Linked DNA regions of Notamacropus eugenii. The protein of the gene in region 3 purifies or fractionates together with the protein of the main gene of each other region. This does not show direct contact. Links are inferred from orthologs where the notes say so. Each region holds a gene or a part of one and is shown on either strand. Other genes may lie near its edges.

Evidence for each region.
Region 1: the proteins of KIF24 (region 3) and CEP97 purify together in Homo sapiens (co-immunoprecipitation; 4 studies listed by BioGRID and IntAct, with this or other methods). This does not show direct contact. The link is inferred for Notamacropus eugenii from reciprocal best matches to the Homo sapiens genes KIF24 and CEP97.
Region 2: the proteins of KIF24 (region 3) and CCP110 purify together in Homo sapiens (co-immunoprecipitation; 4 studies listed by BioGRID and IntAct, with this or other methods). This does not show direct contact. The link is inferred for Notamacropus eugenii from reciprocal best matches to the Homo sapiens genes KIF24 and CCP110.

The regions. Positions count from the first base shown.
Region 1 is NC_092876.1:368,364,702-368,372,142, forward strand, and holds the start of CEP97 (centrosomal protein of 97 kDa), read right to left. Parts: upstream 3,096-7,441; 5' UTR 3,038-3,095; coding exon 2,992-3,037; intron 2,982-2,991; exon of another isoform or gene 2,756-2,981; intron 2,693-2,755; exon of another isoform or gene 2,458-2,692; intron 1-2,457. UniProt on the Homo sapiens protein: Acts as a key negative regulator of ciliogenesis in collaboration with CCP110 by capping the mother centriole thereby preventing cilia formation. Required for recruitment of CCP110 to the centrosome.
Region 2 is NC_092874.1:399,742,398-399,750,011, forward strand, and holds the start of CCP110 (centriolar coiled-coil protein of 110 kDa), read right to left. Parts: upstream 3,099-7,614; 5' UTR 3,040-3,098; intron 2,776-3,039; exon of another isoform or gene 2,533-2,775; intron 1-2,532. Other genes in the region: GDE1 (glycerophosphodiester phosphodiesterase 1), read left to right, coding at 4,094-4,354.
Region 3 is NC_092872.1:77,210,309-77,217,679, reverse strand, and holds the start of KIF24 (kinesin-like protein KIF24), read left to right. Parts: upstream 1-4,301; 5' UTR 4,302-4,475; exon of another isoform or gene 4,476-4,502; intron 4,503-4,686; exon of another isoform or gene 4,687-5,116; intron 5,117-7,371. UniProt on the Homo sapiens protein: Microtubule-dependent motor protein that acts as a negative regulator of ciliogenesis by mediating recruitment of CCP110 to mother centriole in cycling cells, leading to restrict nucleation of cilia at centrioles.

The DNA.
Region 1 (7,441 bases), on a different chromosome or scaffold from region 3:
GATGCATATTAAAATAACTCTGAAGTTCCACTTCACATTCATCAGATTAGCAAAGATGACTAAAAAGGAAGATGACAATTGTTGGAGGAGCTAAGGGAAAACTGGGCCATTCAGAAGATGTGGCCTTCCACCCTCTACTAAAAGAGGTGAGTTGCGGCCCCCTCATTTTACAGATAAGAACAATGAGGCCCAGAGGAAGTGAAAACATTTGCTCAAAACTGGAGAGTAAAGATAAACTACCTCCAAGATTCTGCAGACAATTTCATGACTTTTTAAAGCTTCAGTTTCCCCATCCACAACATGAACCAAATTTGCCTCCCTGTAGTATGATGTCTATTCCTCTTGCTTGCTGCCTGAACTTTGGGCATTGTCAGAAGTGGCTAATAAATGTTTAATTGGCTCTCTGGAAAAGAAAACGTACCCCAAAAAGCTTTTCAATTTAACCTAAATAATTAACATTTTCTCGTGTCCTTAAGTCTAGATAGTCAATAAAAATATAAACCAAAACTTGATTTATACCTAAATGCTCACACTGAAAATTTAACAACTGGCTTGAAAGCCAGTTCCAGCTAGCTCTAGCACACCCCTGTCATTTGCAACTATGGATTTTACTACAGGCCCTTTTCCTGGATTTTTGTCTACTGTGAACTTCTGGGCATCTCAGATGTTTTTGATTTTCCTTCACTGTATCTTTTCTTCAATACGGACATACTACTTCCCCACTCGCTTTTAATTTAAAGCCCTTTGGATTAGATTTGCAAAATACCTGATAAATTGTTACCAGCCTTTGTTAGGAAGATTCTATCCCTGGCCAGTAGTCAGCCATCCCTTTATTTTAAGCCATGATCCAAAAGTCCAACCATTCTCAGATACCACTTTGTTACTAACCTATTAACTTTTCAAATCAATTTTTCTTTTCTGTATACATTGCTTTTGATAGGGAATAATGAGGAAAAGTGCCCATGTTTAGCACATGGTTTTGTAATATTTAATATTTTCTAGGTTCCTTCTCATAGTTATTTGTAGCCAAATAGCACAACTACCACAGAATAACAATAAGTGCATAGCGGTCATTCTTTTCGACAAGATTTGGAAGGTTTTCTGCTATGCCTTGGATACTTGTCTCAGAAAGACAACAGACCTCTCCACTGTTATGATCAGGTCAACAAATAGCTAATTGAGAACTCCAGATTACTTATCACCACTATTTTTCTCTCCTTCCTCTGACTTTTTACTAGATGATTTCTCACCTGATCACTCCTGTGGCTCTATTTTAGCCTGCTCTGGAGGACAAAAGAGGCACTTTTCACTCAGGGCATATCTTTCTCTCCTTCAAAAAGAGCCTTAAGTTTGTTGCTTATTTTAACTCCAAGTACAAAGTTCTCCCTTTCTCCCCTTCCTCTTCTATGTAACATTCTTCCACTTTCCAACCTCTTGACAATATTCAAGTTTAAAGGAAGAAGCTCCTCTTGGAGTATATAAAGTAAGGGCAGTGGGAGTTGAAAGTATGTGAACATATTATTTTCTGCCAACTCTAGGGATATGGATGAAGTGATGGAATGAAATGGCCTCAACTAGGATTTTTCCCTATATTTTGCACAGCTGTTTTTCTAGGCATAAGAAATTGACTTAAGTTGGAAAAGGTTAAAACTAGTTTCAAATTTTCACAAACTGAGGCGTTCTAGAGTTCTAGCTTTAAATCTGTCACAGCATGTATTTCAAATTGTGCTACAAACATATTCTCAAGGAGGCAAGTCCCCTAAAGGCTGCATTTATGTTGGGGAGTGGGAGGAGAGAAAATGAAGATTTCCTCTCTCCACAAGGGTGCTGGTAAACAAACACAGTATGCTTGTCAAAATCACAAATAAATTAGACAGTTATGAAAAGACTCCTTATGCCAGAGCCAAAGAAAACACGTGAGGTTTATAGCCTATTCTGACACTAGGATCTGGTGGCCAGTGGGTATGATAAGCACAATTTCTCTTTGAAGACCTCTTTCTTCTCCTTCTCCTGCCTTCCCTAAAAAAAACCCAACAAAAACCACTTTTGAGGCTCAAACTGCCAGGCGTTCCCCCTAGTGCTCCCCCCTTCCAGTTTTTTTTTTCATTTCCTCCCAGATCCTAGTGTCAGAATAGGCTATAAACCTCACAATGGGAGGGTGGGGGGGACAGAAAGGGGGGAACCTGTATGGGTATTCTCTCATCACAAGGGCTTCCATGATGCTGTGGAATGAGCGCTGGATCTGGAGTTCACTGGCTCAAAAAATGTTTTATGGAAAACCTTTGATGCTGGTTCCCTCTCCAAGCAGGGGGAACCGGGTACACAGTCTCAACCTCTGCAGTCCCAGCCAAAACAAAGGTGACAACCTGCCTGGGCAAAGGCGGAGGAGGAATGCTCTGATAAGGAAGGACCCATCCCATCCGCATGTAGACAAGGCCCAGTCTCTCAGCCTCTCACCTGAGGACCAGGTGGGTCCATGAATGATGCTCCTACCTGAGACCGCCCGGCCCCCACTTCATCAAAGTCATCAGTCCCCTCCTACGGGAAGATGATGAACGAGAGACTAGGGGCAGAGTGAAGGGGAGTGAGGGTGTGGGGAGTATGCTCTTGCCAAATTTAGCTCTTCATTCTTCCCAGTTCGGCCCAGTTCCCAACCAGGGAGGACTCTTCCCCAACCCCAAACAAACCAAACAAGCAGCGGGATCAGCGCGGGGGGTGGGGGGTGGGGTGCTGAACGAAGTCCCCTGGGAGCTGTAGTCCAGCCCCTCTGGCCCTCGCCCTGTCACCGAAGGAGCTACAGAGCGCGGGAAGACTACAACTCCCAGAGGGCAGCACTCCCCGCCGCCCCAGACGCCAAGCTTAACTGCAGCTAGAGAAGATATGAACTGAAACGCAGCAATAAAATGGGGACTCCAACTTCTGTGGAGAGGCGATTACTGTAAACGGGCTTAGCGAAAGGATTTCTAAACTAAACGAACAAGGTACTTTTACCTTCTCGTGGTAATAAAGCCGCGTCGCTCCGCGCCGCCATTGCCATACTTCCCGCTTGCTAACACCAGGCAACTGACTTCCCGAAGCTCTGTGGGGTATGTAGTCTAGTTGGGCTAGCGCAAAACTACTATTCCCAAGATGCACAGCGCCCATGCCTCAACACCCCCCACTCACAACCTCCTCCCCAGGGCCAGTGGGAAGGGAGAACCCATTGCCTTCTGGTTGGTAGAGAGGGTTTAATAAATTAAAGTAATATTGGAGTCCAATTATACAGCTGGAAATAACTTAGAAACAGTAGTTTAAATAATTGGCAAATTGTTTCCTATACCTGCTACCTCCTCCCTCCATCCCCTGCTTCTTAACCCATATTGAAAGCCTGTTCACTCATTATAATGTGTTATCCCAGAAAGGGAGCAAAACGACTAAATATCATCCTACAGGAAGATCGCACCACGTTTAATGGTTGTCTGTAATTCTCTAGACATACTTAGGAGATATCTTCTTGAAGGTGGTAACTGAATAGTGGCGGTAGGCGTGTGAAGTTAGTACAGTGATTAATCATATAGAATAAAAAGGAGAGAGAATATGAGTTAGTTGGTCCTAAGGAAGGGTGTGTTCCTCCTTCGTTGCCGAAGAAGACCATGCCATCAGGGAAATAATGACATGACTTGCACTTGACTTTGTTTTGAGCGAGGGAGGGCTGTGCAGGTCACCAGCCTCACTTCTCCTCCAGAGCCATCTGAATCCAGTGACCAGATATTCATCAGGATGACTGGAGATGACCCAGGATGAGGCAATTGGGGTTAAGTGACTTGCCCAAGGTCACACAGCTAGTGAGTGTCTTGCCTGAGGTGAGATTTGAACTCAGGTCCTCCTGACGCCTGCCCTAGTGCTCTAACCACTGCACCACCTAGCTGTCCCAAAGGAAGGGTAAGAGTGGAAGTGAGGTAGTGAACAGGAGCTTTAAAGAACCCACAAGTTTGAAGTATGGGAAGGGAAAAGACTTCAAGGAACATAAGGAAAGTGAGTATGATTTGGCCAAGGGCAGAAGCTCTTGTACCTAACCTTTGTCCAGAGCCCTTAAAGACTTTTTTGCATATTCTAAGTCCTTGCTTCCTCCCCTGAAGTCATATTCATTTGAGGGACAATTAAAAAAAAGAACTAAATGAGGTCAGTATATCTGAGTCCCTTTTAATTACCACACAAGAATAAGAGAACCCAGGGGACACAAATAAACCTGAGGCTTGTGTTATCAGTGACTATAGATCATTTGCCGATGAATCCATGATTCAAAGCCATCCACATCCAGCAGGAAAACTTCACCACCCACAGGAAATTGTTCTTCTGTTTGAACTTTGAGCAGAATAACATCCAACACAGCAGGCAAACCTTTTCCACGAATATGTCTCCTTGTCCAGGACTTGATATTGATAAGTTGAAGATCATTGAACAAAGTTATATCTCACTCAAGGACTTTATTTAACCTTAATTTATGAATAGATGACGCCTTGTTTGAAAGGTGGCTTAAGGCTGTATTTTCCTCTAGCAAGTAAAATGCATTTTTCTGTAATCAATAAATAACAAACTCAGAAAATGGTTCAGATTTGTCTTTGTATTCCCAGCACTTAGCACAGTGCCTGACACATAGTAGGTTCTTAATTAAATGTTTGTTGAGTAGTAAATGGATTCTTTCCCTTCTCAATCAGGTGAGAAGGTATGATCTGCTATAAACAGTCATTCACAAACAGTCATTCACTGCGTGTAGGCAGTATGGCATGGTGAAAAAAGAGCTGGCTTCAGAGCTTGGCTTCAAGTTGGAGGTGCATTCAGGGTTAGGGTTCCAATGAACAGTGGTTGTACGGCCTAGACAGGGAGAGGGGGCGGTTGTCTCTTAACCTTGAAGTACTCTGTACAACCTGTGAAACTACAATTTGTTTGGAGCAGTTTCTTATCTGCATTGATAGAAGAAATCCCCTTACTGAGAGTTCCCTATACCAAAGAACTCAGCTAAGTGGCACAGTGGATGGAATGCCAGGCCAAGAGTCTGGGGTCTTCATCTTCCTGAGTTCAAACACTCAGACACTTACTAACAGTGTGACTGGTCACTTAACCTTGTTTGCCTTGCTTAATAAGCTGGAGAAGACAATGGCAAACCACTCCAGTATCTTTGCCAAGAAAACCCCAAATGAGGTCTCCAAGACAACTGAAAAATGACCCAACAACAAACACAACCAACAACAAAATCACATCCAAACCAGAAAGACCCTTGATATATTCATAGACCTTTCTCTTAAAGATCTTATAGAGATGGAAAAGTAGACATATGGGTCAGTAGTTGCTAATACCAGCCTCATTGCTCTTTTCTTTGAAGTAATAATATCATCTATGATCCTTTCCATTCTTTTGTGCTATTCCTATCTTTGAAATCTACTAAAAATCAATCCCTAATTTATATGAATTAATGCAAAGTGGAGCAACCAAAGTGCGAAGAAATATGAGAAGACACCTTCTCCACCTCCCTCCCTCCCCACCCCTTCCCTTTGGAAGGCAAGCAATTCAATATAGGCCAGATCTGTGTAGGTTTGCAAATGACTTCCATAATAGTAGTGTTGTGTAAGAACTAATTATATTTCCCTCCATCCTATCCTGTCCCCCATTACTTCTGTTCTCTCTTTTGATCCTGACCCTCCCCATGAGTGTTGACCTCAAATTGCTCCCTCCTCCCCGTGCCCTCCCTTCCGTCATCCCCCCCATCCTGCTTATCCCCTTATCCCCCACTTTCCTGTATTGTAAGATAGGTTTTCATACCAAAATGACTGTGCATTTTATTCCTTCCTTTAGTGGAATGTGATGGGAGTAAACTTCATGTTTTTCTCTCACCTCCCCTCTTTTTCCCTTCACTAAAAAGTCTTTTGCTTGCCTCTTTTATGAGGGATAATTTGCCCCATTCCTTTTCTCCCTTTCTCCTCCCAATATATTTCTCTCTCACTGCTTGATTTCATTTTTTTTTTAAGATATGATCCCCTCCTCTTCAGTTCACTCTGTGCACTCTGTCTCTATGTGTGTGTGCGTGTGCATGTGCATGTGTGTGTGTGTTATCCCACCCTGTACCCAGATGCTGAATAGTTTCAAGAGTTACAAATATTGTCTTTCCATGTAGGAATGTAAACAGTTCAACTGTTGTAAAGTCCCTTATGACTTCTCTTTGCTATTTACTTTTTCATGCTTCTCTTCATTCTTGTGTTTGAAAGTCAAATTTTCTTTTCAGCTCTGGTCTTTTCATCAAGAATGCTTGAAAGTCCTCTATTTCATTGAAAGACCAATTTTTCCCCTGAAGTATTATATTCAGTTTTGCTGGGTAGGTGATTCTTAGTTTTAGTCCTAGTTCCTTTGACTTCTGGAATATCCTATTCCATGCCCTTCGATCCCTTAATGTGGAAGCTGCTAGATCTTGTGTTATCCTGATTGTATTTCCACAATACTTGAATTGTTTCTTTCTAGCTGCTTGCAATATTTTCTCCTTGACCTGGGAACTCTGGAATTTGGCCACAATGTTCCTAGGAGTTTCTCTTTTGGGATCTCTTTCAGGCGGTGATCTGTGGATTCCTTGAATACTTATTTTGGCCTCTGGTTCTAGAATCTCAGGGCAGTTTTCCTTGATAATTTCATGAAAGATGATGTCTAGGCTCTTTTTTTGATCATGGCTTTCAGGTAGGCCCATAATTTTTAAATTGTCTCTCCTGGATCTATTCTCCAGGTCAGTTGTTTTTCCAATGAGATATTTCACATTCTCTTCCATTTTTTCATTCTTTTGGTTTTGTTTTGTGATTTCTTGGTTTCTCACAAAGTCATTAGCCTCCATCTGTTCCATTCTAATTTTGAAAGAATTATTTTCTTCAGTGAGCTTTTGAATCTCCTTTTCCATCTGGCTGATTCTGCTTTTGAAAGCATTCTTCTCCTCATTGACTTTTTGAACCTCTTTTGCCAATTGAGTTAGCCTATTTTTCAAGGTGTTATTTTCTTCAGCATTTTTTTGGGTCTCCTTTAGCACGGAGCTGATCTGCTGTTCATGCTTTGACTGCATGTCTCTCATTTCTCTTCCCAGCTTTTCTTCCACCTCTCTAACTTGATTTTCTATGAGCCCTCTATGGCCTGAGCCCATTGAGTGGGCTGGGATATAGAGGCCTTGACTTCTGTGTCTTTGCCTGATGGTAAGCATTGTTCTTCCTCATCAGAAAGGAAGGGAGGAAATGCCTGTTCACCAAGAAAGTAACCTTCTATAGTCTTATTTCTTTTCCCTTTTCTGGGCATTTTCCCAGCCAGTGATTTGACTTCTGAATATTCTCTTCACACCACCTCGCCTCCGGATCCTCCCAGCCAACACTTGGGGTTTGAGATTCAAATGCTGCTTGCCAGCCTCAGGGCTTTTGGCGGTGGCAGGGCTGCTATT
Region 2 (7,614 bases), on a different chromosome or scaffold from region 3:
AGGTAACAAGAGCTAACCTTGACATAGTGCTTTAAAGTTTGCAAAATGCTTTACATCCCATTTGCTTCCCATAACAACCCTATGAGGTATTTATGACCATTTTACAAATGAGGAAAGAGGTACAAATCCAAATTTTTTAAGTGACTTGCCCATGGGCACACAGCTAATGCAACTGGTAGAATGTAATTCTTTGTATTTGTATCCCCTAACCTAGCACAGTGCCTGGCACAGAATAGATGTTGTACGTTGGTTGATCACGTTCTCCTGACTCCACTTACAGAACTCTTCTCTTCACAGAATAAAAGCAAGAAAACTTAAATGAACCTTGTTTCAGTGTGAACACTGAAAAATAGCTTTAACTCAGTCCTCAAAAGTAGACTTCTACAGATATTTTATCATGCACTATATATTAAATACATGTACCTCCTAAAATAATCAAGCTAAACTTCACATTCCATTTTGCCTCTGCCAACTCACTGCCAAGTTTCACAAGTTTATCTCATGAGAATTGTGGAAACAAATGCCTTAGAATATTTTACCAATAGTACGTATCAAACACAGTTTTAAGTTCTATTTGCAGAGAGTCTCTTGCAAAATGCAAAGGAGATTTAGAAATGGAAATCTTGTATCTATGAGTAGAAACTAATCAACTTGATCTGAAGAAAGCATCTATCAACTATTCCTATTTCCAAGCCCTTCAAAAAAAGTAAATCAAACATTCATCCAAGAACAGAAGAATTTCGAGATTAGTTTCATTGGCAATCCTCCTCTCATGGGCAAATTAGTACCTCTAAATTACAATGTCAACCATTTAAAAAGTGAGTAATCTATGTTACATATGATTAGATAGGTGGATGCTGAATTACTCATATCACAATCCACTGTTAATAAGTTTTAAACTTAAAGAGTGCCTCTGGTCACCAAGCCATCCCAGGTCACAAAGCCACCCCAACCGTAACTACAGTACCACGTATTATTCCCTTTTTTTAGCTGCTCCCAAGTTGGACATAATTGGGTGGTCAGCCCTTTCTTAGAAATCCTTTGGTAATCTCATAAGTTTAGGACCCTACTCGTTATTAATTCAGCACTCCAGAAATCTAATATTCCCTTTCTACCAGAAAGTTCAGAAAAGGTAAGATACAACTGTGCAAGATGAGAACTATTGTGGTAACCTAGCAATAAAGACCAACAGACATTACTCTCTATTCATTTGGTTTACAACTTCAGAGAGCTCATTTTTATTCTTTTTTGTACCCCATATCCAATCAGTTGTCAAATCTTGTCAATTCTACTAACTCCACAACAGCCCTTCATACCTGTCCCCTTCCACTCAAATGAATCAGCTCTCATCACCAATGACCTGAACTGCAACAGCCTAACTGGTTTCCATGATTCCAGTCTCTCCCCCTTCCAATTCATCTTCCACAAAGCAGCAAAATTAAAAATTATGTTTTAGATAAGTCTGATTACATCAGCCTTCTCAAAAATCTTCAGCTAGCTCCTTATTGCCTCCAGAATCAAATATAAACTTCTCAGCCTGGCATTTTTGAAACTCTTCACAATCTGGTTCCAGTGTACCTTTTTAGACTCATTTCTATCCCAGTCACTTTCAGGATTCTTACTTTCAGTCAAACTAGCCTATTAGCTATTTCCTGACCAGCTCTGAACGAGAGAAACCTCCCCACATCACCACCTCACACCAGCCTAAGAAAATCCAATGCATTATTCCCTTTCAGCTCCAGGACTTTCTAGACTGATCTACTCATATGCCATACACAGAGCTCTCCCTTCTCAAATTATATCATACATTTACACATTTTTTTACTTATCGCTGTACCCCAAATAAATTAAACATCCTGCGGGCGGGGCCACTTTTTCCCCCCATTTTTTCTTTAAAGGCCTAAGTAAGGTCTAACCTAAAGAGTTTCACAACACGAGGGCCTCAACAAACACTAGCTGAATAGGAGAGATGTAGCTTGCAGCAAAGAGTTAACAGATAAATAGTGGGTCCTATGCCTGCTCAGCTAGAGAATTACTCTTCAAAAATGCAAAGGGAGGGTAAGGCATCAACCCCTCCCAAGCACGGAAAATAATTGGGTATTGACTTCTATTGTTCCTGCTTTTTTAATCAGGTGTGTACAGGTTCCCCCGCCCGAGGTTTCCGACTGGCATTAGAATCTTCCCCTTACCCCACCTTACCCCACCTAGGAGTATGAAGGAGCATGAAGCTCAGTCTGGTGATGCTCACAGTTCCATCAATCCCGCATCATCCGCATCATCATCATCATCATCATCATCATCATCATGATCATCATCATCATCCTCCTCCTCCTCCTCCTCCTCCTCCCACGACCTACCACAAATGCACCCCAGCCTCTCCCTCGCCCACCCTGCCAGGTAAGGCAGACCGGGGTTCGCCAGGACTGCCAGGGGCAGGGAAGGAAGCCCCGGCGACCCCAGGCGCCGCCTCGTCCCCGCCCCCAGCCGCGGTGGGAAGCCCCCAGCGCCCTGCCCCCCACCCCAGGCACCCACCTACTTCCCTTCCGCAACCCCCAGGGCCCCTTCGGGTTCTCTCTCTTTCTTCCTCCACGACCTCAAGGAGAGACAAAGGGATCAGGCTCTAATTGCAGGGCGCAGCCCGCTCCGCCGCCGTCTCCTCCTCCTCCTCCCCGCCATATTACGGGTCTCAAGGCGGCAACGCCGGCACCAGGCAACCGCTGCTGCCGCTGCCCGCCGCCGCCGCCGCCTCCCTCACTCCGCCTCCCAGGCAAGGCACTTCCGGTGCTGGAGGGCCGGAGTAAAGGGACTGCCTCCGTTCTGGGGCTACCCAACTAGAAACTACAACTCCCGAAAGGCTACGCGTGCCGCCTGTCCGGCCTCCAGGATTGGATGAGTACGTTGCATCTTGGGATATGTGGTTCCCACAAGAGGCAGGCTTCCCTCCTCCCTCCCCCTCCAAATAGGAGGTGGGGAGAAGAGGGAAAGATTTGTTTTTAACTAAGTCATCTGTTGTAGCAGTCAAAGTGGAAGGGACCTTACAGTGCTGTCTTTGAAAATATCGCCTTTAAAAACATCGACGTGGCCACGAATGCTGGTCCAAGGCGCCCAGGTATATGAAACATTCCCCACTTCCCAGAGAGGCGCCAAGGGTCTAAGTGATTTACCCAAGGTCACATAAGTGACCAGCAGAACGCAGTTACTTTACTAATAATGAGGAAGCAGCTTCAGAGAATTCAATGTGATCAAGGTTATACACCATACAAATGAGTGGAAGAGCCAGAATCAGAACCGATGAACAAATGAACTGATGTAACAAATGGTATTTTAAGACAAGTTCTCTCAGCTGATCTCTCTTAAGGAAATAACTTTATATTCAACAAACTGGTTTACAGATGACGTCTCCAGCCTTAGAACATCCTTAGACTTGCAGGACGGAAGAGCATTTTTTTAAAAAATGAAACAGTAAGCCCAGGAAGAAGGCCAAGCAGCCCTGAGTTCTTGGGCGATGCCCGGCTTCCAAAGCTGTTCCACTTGCTTCATTCCCCTGTGAAGTGTCAGTGCTTCACAGTGTGTGTGATTGCCCAGCGTCCGCTTCTTGAATCAGATCATTCACATGATGTTTGCAAAATGGTTCACAAATATAATTTCATTTCATCTTCCCAACAAGTCTGGGAGGTAGGTGCTTTTATTATCTTCCCTTTTTTGCAGATGAGGAAACTGAGGCAGGCCGGGGCCAGCGCCTTGGCCTCTGCGCCCCCTAGCGGCCCTCCGCCAGAACGCGGGGTGGTAGCCAAGGTTGAAGAGCCGTCCTCCGCGCAGTCCGATCGAAGTTCCTCAGACGCTCCAGCCTGCCCGCTAGGTCCCGTTGCTATAGCAGCGCCCCGCCTTGAAAGCCCCGAGCTCCGCGGTGCTGATTGGTCGGCGCGGAGCCTACCTTTCCGGATGTGCCGGGGCCGGCCATTGTGCGCGCCGGTGCCCTCTGCGGGTGACTGGCCCGATCGTGTCGCGGTCCCGCGCCCCGCCTCGAGGAGCCCGGCGGGTCCCGGAGGCTGCGGGTGCCGGCGCCCGCGGCGGCGCCGGCCCCGACCCCGACATGTGGCTGTGGGAGGAGCAGGGGGGCCTGCTGGCCTCCTTCTCCTTCCTGTTCGTGCTGCAGCTGATCCTGACCCGCAGCCCCTTCAACACCTGCCTCTTCACCTTCAGCTTCTACCTCCTGCTGCGCTTCTTCAGCTTCGAGCCGGTGCCCCACCGCCGGGCCCTGCAGGTGCTCAGGCCCCGCGGCCGCATCTCCGCCATAGCTCACCGCGGCGGCGGCCACGATGCCCCCGAGAACACGCTGGCCGCGATTCGGGAGGTAGGCGAGGGGGCGCCCCCGCCCCCACCCCCGGCGTCGCCCCCGCCCCCCGCCAGCCCCGAAGGGATGGGGTGTCTCTGTGCCCCCGAGGGGGGGAGTGTGTGATAAGCTTAGCCCCCCCCCCCCGTAACGATCAAGTCTAATCGTGTATGAGGAACGCTTTGCAAATTTCCCTGTGCTATTCGGTGTGCGTTATGGTTTATTATTAAAGGCAGTTAGGTGACTTAGAATTAATTGCCTGACTACGGGCAAATCAATCAACTTCAGTTTTTCCATTTTTAAGTGAATACGAAAGCCCCACCTGTGAGGATCAGGTATGATCAGGTATAAGGAACAGACAGTTTCCAAATCTTCCAGTCTATATCAATGTGCGTTATTATTATTTATTATTAAAGGCTGCAGGTGGCTCAGTTTATATGAGTGCGGGACCTGGAGTCAAGCACAGAGTTCAAAGGTCTACTCAATCTCATTTTCCCCATTTGCAAAGTTGGGAGAGGAGATATAGATGGTAGCCTCTGTTGTTCCTCAAGGTAGCTGTGACCATCAAGCATGATACTTAGTAACATTTTGTAAATCTTACAGCGCTACACCCATGTGAATTATTTCTAAATTATTAAAGGCAGCTGGGTGAATGAACTTGCTGGACCTGGAGTCTGGGATATCAGAATTCAAATAGGGTCTTAATTGCTTTCTAATTGTATTACTGGGGCAAATCTCTTAACTTCTGGCTACCTCAGTTTTCCCATTTGTAAAATGGGGGTGGTGGTGGTGGTAATAGCCCTTGTTCCACAAGGTTGCTGGGAGCATCAAATACGATTATATATAGGAAGTAGTTAGGACAACCAAGTGGCACAGTGGATATAGTACTGGGCTTGGAGTCAGAAAGACTTTTATCTTTCAGAGTTCAAATTTGGGCTCAGATACTTAGTTGTGTGACCCTGCATAAGTGACTTAAACCTGTTTGCCTTACTTTCCTCATCTGTAAAATGAATTGGAGAACAAGTGGCCAACCACTCCAATATCTTTGCCAGCAAAACCCCAAATGAGTTCATAGAGTCATAAGGGACTGAAACAGTATAGTGCTATATAAATGTAGGCTATTATTAATTTCCATCCCTTAGACCAAGAGTTCTCAACTTTTCTTGTGTGTCATGAATCCTTTTGGCAGTCTGTTTTACCTCTGGATGGGGAGGTGGAGTTTGAGGTATGTCTTTTTAATGTATGTTGATGCATAAACTAAAAAACACCTAGGAATGCAAAGGAAACCAACTATATTGAAATCATTATCAAGATATTAAAAAAAAAAAAGGTTCAGGTTAATAACCTCTGCACCAGACAAATAGGCAGCATCACCTCTGTGGTAGTTCTCTGGTCATCCTAGTTCCTCTTTTCCCTCTGGGGAACTCCTGTGACCCTTGAAACTATGAAGTTTGATGATTTGACTCAAGGTATCATAAGTGAATCATTTAGACCGGCCATCAGACTTTGGCATTCAGGTGATCTGGTGGGACTCTGCTAAACATTAGCTGTGTATCCTTGGGCAAATAATCATTTAAACATTCCAGGCTTATGGTATTTTCATGTAAGGAGCTGGACTAGATCAGGGGTAGGGAACCTGTGGCCTTGAGTGGCCCTCCAGGCCCTCTAGTGCTATCCTTAGACTGAATCCAAACTTCACAGAAGAAATCCTCTTAATAAAAGAATTTGTTCTGTAAAACTTGGACTCAGTCAAAAGGCCACACCCAAGGACCTAGCCCGATGTGACTTCTAGATGCCAGGTTCCTGACCTTTGAACTAAATAATTGTTGACCTTTAAGCTCTTTGAAGTTTGAAAAACAGTTTACAAATTTTATCTCTTTTTATCCTCAAAACAACTCTAGGAGGAGCTGTTGTTATCCTGATTTTACAGTTGAGAGGACTAAGAGATACAAAGATTAGTTGACTTTTCCAGGATCACACAGCTAGTAAGATGTGTGGCAGAATTTGAACTCAGGTCTTCCTGAGTCTAGGTTCACCTATTCTACCACCTGGTTCCCTCTCTCCTATCCTGTTGTCTGTTACTTTCATCTTTGTGCCCCTTTTTCACGCCATGAGGTACATCAGTGATTTCAAGAGCTTCATTCTGGGCCCAGTAAAAAGTAAGTTTCAAGTCAGGAGACCAGAAGGAGCATAAACAAAAAGGTGAAAGGAATACTTTAGTAGATATTAGGTAGTAGATATTAGTGGTCATCAGCCAGGTTGGACATTCTCCCTCCCTCCTTCCCTACTCCCCATTTTGCTTATATGCCAGAGGTCTGAAGGGTAATTCAGTGTCTTCTTGTCCACAACTTCTTGTAGCCTTTATATGACTTCTTTATACATCTGATGAAATAGACAACATTTTTCATCACAAACTATAATGATCTTAAAAGCATCAAAGGAAGTAATGAGGGGAAAAATGATAGGACTTAATTTTCTTTAGGATAAATGCTATCAACAAGTTTCATCTTCCAAATATTCAACGTAAACTGTCTAAAAGTATATATAACACAATGCTAGACATAGAGTATATATTTTGTAAATATTTGTTGATTGATTTTTGTAGTAGATGTATGTGTGTGTAATTGAAGCAGTAGTATATTTGAGGACTTTTTGAAGAAAGAAAATTGTTTTATGTACAAGATACTTCATGTTTCAGAAGTAACCAAAAAGCCCAGTATTTGCTCTTTCTTAGATATTACTGAAAGCATTATATTTTTCTATCGGCAGGAAATGAAAATGCATCTCTTTTCTTAGGCAGCATTTGGTGCCGTCATGCTACAAATAATCGTTAGCACTTTAGCAATTTGAGTGCTCATAAAAAACAATTGACCTCTTGAAAAGTCATTTTGGAGTGTAAGGCTTAGATTTTATTTTTTAATGTGTGAAAACCAACAATATTTAGATACTGTTCTTAAAAAAAACCCTATGGGAAGACATGATCTCATCCCTAAAAGTCAGGAGGAGCACATAGTTTATTCTCATTTTCCTTATCTCTCCTCTCCCCTATTCCTGGTTCGTATTTACAGCAGGTTAAAATCCTCTGCTCTTTACTATTCAGAACCAGGGAAGGAGTCTGGGAGGAGATATAATTTGAGAAAGATTATAAACAAAAAAGAGGAGGAGGCAAGTTGACAGAAGGGTATATTACAGAGCAAGACACCATTATTATAGACACTAGTGTAAAAATCATACCTCCAGCCCTGAGTCATTAAGGTGGGGTTTTTTTTGTGTGTGTGTAG
Region 3 (7,371 bases):
GGAATCATTTAATAGGCAGCAAACCCAAAGCTGATGGAATTGTTCGGCGTGTAAATAATTCTTAAAGGGAGATCAGAACCCTTCCTTGTCTCCCAGGTTCGGATCTTCAGTTTTCTCTTTTCTCCCTATCTACTTTTTTGTTTTGAGTTTTATTCCCTTTCTTTCACTCTCCATAGATGTACTGAGCTAAATGTTCCCTAACATAAAAATTAATTTAATTATTCTTGTAATATCTTTTCTTCTTCCTCCAATATAAATGAGTTGTAGAATTATAGACTGTTAGAGATGGAAGGCACCTTACAGATTATCTATTAAAACTCTGTCATTTTACAAACAAATTAGCCCAGTAAGAGAAGTGATTTGTCCAGGTCACACAGCTGTTTAGTAGCAGAAACTGTATTAGAACTTAGGTTTCTTGAATGTCACAGACATCTTCAAATGAGGACATACATACATATATATGTGTGCATGTATATATATGTATGTATATATTTTTTGATAGCTTGAAAACTGTACTGCAAAATAATTATCAAATTTTAACACAGAGAACCACAGCCAGGTAGCACAGTGGATAGAGTGCTAGTTCTAGAGTCAGGAAGACCTGAGGGCAAATCTGGCCTGTTTATTAGCTAGATGACTCTGGGTCAGTTAACCTCTGCCTCAGTTTTCTCCTCTGTACAATGGGTTTCATAAAAGCACCTACTTCAAAGGGTTATTGAGGGGATAAGATGAAAATCATATTTATAAAGTGCTTTGCAAACCTTAACACTCTTTATAATATAACAGGCATTATTATTAACTAATATCTTCAATAACTAAAATAATAATAACCCTTTATAACCCTGTGCATTTTATTCTATGCATTTCAAGACATTATTCTGAGAAAGGGTCCAAAGGCTTCACTAGATTGTCAAAGGTGAACACAAAAAAAGTTAAGAATCCCTAGCCTACGGTGCTCTTTTGAATCCACCAACCAGGCTATTCCCTCTACTTTCTCACCACAATTTGGCTTCCATTTCTACCATTCTACTGAAATCATTCTCTCAAATATCAATGACCTCGTCATCAAGAAATCCATTTCTTTTTCAGTTCTCATCCTCCTGGGGCTCTTTGGATTATCTGATCAAGCCCAACTTGTACATATTCTCTCTACCTTTGACCTCTGGCTTCTCCTTGATACCATACTGTTTTGCTTCTTCTCCAACCTCTCTAATTTTATCCTCCTCACTAGCATCCTTGTCTTTGAGTGTTCCCAGGAGATTTTTTGGTTTATCTCTCTGCTCTTTCCTTCAGCAACCTCACAAAATCCCAACACTGTGACTGTTACTTCTACTCAGGGGACTTAGCTCTAGCCTTAACTGTTTTTTCCCTGACCTCTGGACCTGCATCTCTAATTGCCAATTTAGAAGATCTTTACTTGGATGTTCCACTAGGACTTCAAACTTACTATGCTTCAAAAGAAGCCTATTATTCTCTTTGCCTTAAATAGGGCCCCATTATTCATATTTGTAATCTTGGTCCTATGTACTTAATCTGGTCATGTCACTGCTCTACTCAAAAATCTTCAGAGGTTTCCTATTGCTTAGTAAGTTAAGTTTCAAACTGTCAGTTGGCATTCAAGGCTCTTAACATTGTGGTACCTCCCTAACTCTCCAGTTTATCTCTTACTATTCCCCTTGGTATTTTCTACATTCCAGTCAAATTGTACTTCTTGTTATCATTTGCGCTTGTAGAACTTTAGTTCCCACTTTTCCCTATTCCTGGAATCATCTCCTTCCTATCTATTGAATTCCTGTCCTTAAAACACAACTCAAATACTAGATCTTCTATGCTAATTTTCCCATTAGGTAATAATCTTTCTTCAGACCTCACAAAACACTTTCCTTGTAGTTCTCTAATGTATTTACATATTATGGACAGTGAGACACTGTTACCCTCAAGACAGTAAAAGAAAGAAGAGTGGAACCTTTATAAAGATTATATGGATAAAAATTATAAAATACATTATAAAGAGATGTTTTAATCGGTACAGATGACATTATAATATCCATAAAAGCGTAGTGATATACACACACACATCACTGTACATATGTGTGTGTATGTATGTATCTCACATCCTTTTCCTGTGCTATAAGGTTCGCAAGGGCAGGGATTCTGGAAAAACAAGTTTTATTAAAACCTTCTCTTTTTTTTTTTTTTTTAAACATCAAAGTCCTTTCTCAGTAGTCAGGAAAAGTTACTTTCTGGTGGTGGTAGCATTTGAGTTGAGCCTTAAGAATAGACAAGACTTCAACAGTAATAACAGCGTAACAACGTTCCACAGGTCTTAAAGGTGGATGTCTTCCTCTTCTCTTTCTAAACTCTCCACTTTGATGATCTAATCTACTTTCATGGTTTCAAAGATTATTTTTAATACAGATGACTCCCAATTTTTTTATTTCCAACTCCAACACTTTCCCAGAGTTCCATGCCTATATATTTCCAGGAGCCTGCCGCCTAACTCAATCTATTGGAACTCATTATCTTTCCTTGTAAACCTGCACCTCAGTTCTTCAAGAATAGTGCCATCTCTATCCCAGTTTCCCAGGCTCATAACCTCAACTAACATTCAATCAGTTGTCAGATTCTGTTTTTGTTAATTTAACAACATCTCTGGCACCCAGCCTCACCTCCCCAGTCTCCTCTCTCCAACTAATCTATGTTTAGACTTTCATCTCTGCTCATGTTGATGATTATAACCATTTCTTAACTAAACTTTCTCCCTCCATTGTATAGCCTCTCCATTAGATGGGTCTGTGGCACCAGTAGGATTATATTACTCCTCCACTGAAAAAATTTTAGTAGATCCCTATTGCCTTCCAAAGTATAAACTCCTATCCCTAACATTTGAGGCTCTCCACAATTTAGCTCCAATTTGTCTCATACTTCTCCTCTTCCCAAATTCTATATTCCACCCTAACTGGACTTTTCTCCTTCAAGGTCCCATACCTTTGTACAAACCATTTCCCTTCACCAATAGTTCCTGAAATTCCTCACTTTTTCAAGATTCAACTAGGCATCTCCTTCATGAAGTCTTTCCTAAATACCTCCGAAGCCTACCATTAGCTGAAAGGCAACGCTCAAAATTCACAATCCTTGGTCTGGATCTATCTCCACGGAATTTCTCTCATTCTCTGGTATTAGTTACTGGTGCTTACGGTTCTGGTTCTCCCTTTATCCCATCCCCTTATCAAACTATATCGTTGCTGTTTTCATCCTTCGTTGCAGAAGAGAAATGATGACATGCCTTGCGCTTGACTTTGTTTTGAGTGAGGGAGGGCTGTGCGGGTCACCAGACTCTTCTCCTCCAGAGCCATCTGAATCCAGTGACCAGATAGTCATCAGGATGACTGAAGATGGCCCAGGATGCACTGGGAGACCTTGGCCCCTATCAAACTATAAAATCCTTAAAGAAGAGAGAGTGAACCACCTAGCCCGGCATTACCAGCCTCTCGCACCAACTGGACTGCAGGGGGCAGTCCTGGGAGGACGAGAGCCAAGGTGCCCTCACCTGGCCCACCAAACTAGGTCGGGCGGGGCTGGTGGGGGCTGGGGCAAGAGGGCAGCTTTTTGCAAACAAGGCCTTCCACACCCTGGCATCCCAGCCAACGTTCTCCTTCATTCAATTGGCCACGATCCACGTGGGCCGGGCAGGGGTAGTCCCTGAGCATCCAAAAACCAAAAAAAGGGGAATAGATCCTGCCCTCAGGGTGCTTATATTCTGTCAACGAGAAGCAACTGGAACATACGTTAGTAAGTTACAAAGTACAACCTAAAAAAAGGATTTTCCCCATCCCCGACCCCAGGGCCTTACTTTCCCCTTCGATCTCCTCAGATCAGTTAATAAAGCCACTATTTCAGGGACGCATGGACCCCCGTCGCGGGATCAAAGAGGTTAAAAAGCTCCCCGCCCCCCTGCCTCCAACAACAACCTACCTCCTGGGCCGCGAGTGTGGGGAAGAACTTAATGGGAAACTGACACTTCTCCTACCAATCAAGAAGCTCCGCCGAGAGCGAGCAGGCCCAATAGACTTTGCTACTGTCTCATCTCGTCCCAGGCGCGTAAGATATCGCGAGATTTTCTCACCAACTGGAGGAAAGAGAGAGGTTCTGACTTCGCGATTCGCCGAGAATCCTCCCTTTCCCCACCCACTGTTTCCTAGTAGCTTATGATTGGTCTAAGAGCAGGGAGGGTGGGGCGACTCGGCCCGCTCCCGCCCTCCCCCTCCTCCCAGGGTTCCTATTGGCGGGTTCCCGGGGCTGGCCGGCGCGCGCGGGAGTCGGCGCGGCGTTTGAACGGATGCTTGGCGGTGTTGCCATGGGGACGCGGCCTCGCCTTCTCGGCGGGGCGGTTTGTTGACGTGCCGCTGTGTCGCTAGGGGCAGCGGCCCGGGGTGTCCGAGCGGCCGCAGTCAGAGGTTCGGCTGCCTCAGTAGGTGAGAGAGAGGAATGGCGCTCCCGAGGTAGGGAGACGCGGCGGTCGGAGGGGGCCCGGGAGAGGCCCGGGCCAGGCGGGGGCTGAGGGTGGGGGTGGAGAGGGCCGCGTGGGGCTCCGGGGGTGGAGGGGGCCGCGTGGGGCTCCGGGGGTGGAGGGGGCCGCGTGGGGCTCCGGGGGTGGAGGGGGCCGCGTGGGCTCCGGTGCCGAGCGGCCCGGCGCGAACCCAGAGCCGGAGCGGGACGTTGGGGATTTAAGCCTCTCCCAGCAGCTTTATCCGATGTGTCCCGGAGCCCTTTCCGCGCCTCCCGGCAGCTCTAGCCCCGCCCCTCCTGCGCAGACGTTCCGTAAACATTGTTGTAGCACCTACTACGTGTCGGGAGAGGTTATCTAAGGGTACGCCCCTGCTCGTGTGCCCCTCACCTGGAAGGAAGCCCCTCCCGAGGCTGGCTTTTCCTAAAGGCATGGGGAGTCCTTCCTTAACCGCTGATCAGAACTCACTCTAAAATAGTTTCGTCCAGGCCTTAGGGAGAACGAAGCATGAGACTCGGCAAAGTAAAGGATGTTACCCACTCATTTAAAGTGCTTCGAGAAGGGTTTGGATGAATGAATGGATTTGCAAACTTGTGACAACTTACTAAAGTAAGTTATGGCACTCCGATCAGTGAATGAATGAATGATCAAAAAGCAGTGAAAAGCTCTGTGCCATGAACGAGGGATACAAATAGAAAATAAGATTTCCTGAGCTGAAGGAACTCACATTGTAATGAAACTAAAAATAATAGTAGCTAATCTTTATATAAGCACTCACTGTGTGTCAGAGGCAGTACGCTAAGTAATGCAAATACCACATTTGATCCTCACAATAATCTTTGGAGGTAGGGGCTATTGTTATCCCCATTTTACCGGTGGGGAAACTGAAGCAAGCAGGGAAGTGACTTTCCTAGGATCACACAGCTTTTAAGTGTCTGAGGTTCAATTTGAGCTCAAGTCTGCTGGATTCCAAGCCAGGCTATCAATCCACTACACTGCCTATCTGCCTCAATGACTGACTCTAATGGGGAGACAACCCATTTTCAGCTGCTTGTTAGGAGAACAGGATCCTTTGGATACAGGAGCAATGCAGGTGGTATTGAATCTTCTTTAATGCCATTTCCACTGATCAAATCATTTGTTTCTGATATTGAACCATTTGATAGGTACAGGATCTTGGTGGTAAGAACTTTCTTTCCTGGGCCTTCAGTAGCTGTGGTCTGCTGAAGAGGTTGTAGACATGCAGAAGTAATTGCCCAGGTTGCATTTCACATGGAATCAAGCATTTAGTCTTCATGAAAGGAAAATCTTTCTTAACAGTCAGAAATATCCGGATATGAATTGGGCTGCCTTGAGAGTTCATAGGATCATAGATTTTTGAGCTGGAAAGGAGGAAAGGACTTTAGTCGTCACTTAGTTTAGTCTCTTCATTTTACAGATAAGGCAACTGCAGCCAGAAGATGGAGTGGTAGTGGATTTTCTCTTTAGATATCTACAGATCTACATATGGCTGGAGTTGTTGCAAAGGGAATTCCTGTATGGTCATGTATTGCACTAGATGGTTGCTGAAGTTCTTTCAGCTCTGATTCTGTGAATATTTGGGGTTATGGAGAGAAACCTTCTCTTCCATGGAACATCTCATTTTCCTGCTCTCAGAAACAGAGTATTCACTGAGTAATTAGTCTGAGGGCAATTATTGCTCTCAAGATAGAAATTAGGAGGCTTGTACAAGCCTGCTGGTACTGAGGCCCTGGCATCAGGAATATAAATAATTGATTTCACTGTGCATAATGCATGATTTACCTTTGTATTAAGAGGATGTCATTGTGGAGTTGTGATCCACATATACAGATGGACCTGAAGAGTCTCAAACTGACTTAATCATGGTCACAGGGTTTTCCTGGCCCTCCATTTACTCTGCCACACTGCATCTCATATGTTAATTTCAGTCTTACTGTACCAGCTCTGTTTAATTTTGATCTATTACTTATGGGCAATCTTAGGATACGGTAGCTCTTGTTAACAATTCTCGAAATTATCAGAGAATCCCTTAGGATCTCCTGGAATTTCTCTGAGCAGCCACATTTGCTTACTATAGTTATGAGTCAAATGCTTTTGAGTGTTTAATAAAGAGAAGGCAGAATAGTGTAGTGAAAGACCATTGGACTTGGGTTCAAATCCCAGTTTGGAAAGTTGCTTAGCTGTGTGACTATGAGAAAGTCAGCTAAACTGACTTAAAATGGGGAGAGTAATGCCTGTAATATCTACCTTATAGGATGGTTGTGAAGATTAAATAAGATATGTGTAATAATACTTTGCACACTGTAAAGCACATCATATCTGCTACCCTCCTTAGTGGCCTATGTCATTTCCTCTCCCTGTTTTTTTCCTACCCATCATCTGACCACTCCTTTGCTGGATCATTTTCCATCTCTTGCCTGTTATGTATGAGCATCCCTTGGGCTCTGTCCTGGGCCATCTTTTCTCTCTTTACCCCCTCTTTTCTGGTGATCTCATCTGTTCCCATGGGTTTAATTATTATTTCTATGCAGATGATTCTTAAGTCTGTATACAACACACATCTCTAATCTCTCTTTGAGTTCCAATCCTTCATCACCCACTGCCTCCTAGTGGATCTTAATCAACTTCTCCAAACTAATATGCACAAAATGCAGTTCATTTTCTTTTCCACTAAACCCACTCCTCCAAGCTTCCTTGTTTCTGCAGAGGGTACCACCATACTTCCAATAACCCAAGTTTTCAAATTGAAGTCATCCTTGTCTCTTCCAGGCTATCTCACATCCTTCTCCAATCGTTTGGCAAATCTTGTCAATTTTGCCTCTACAACATCACTTGCATCTATC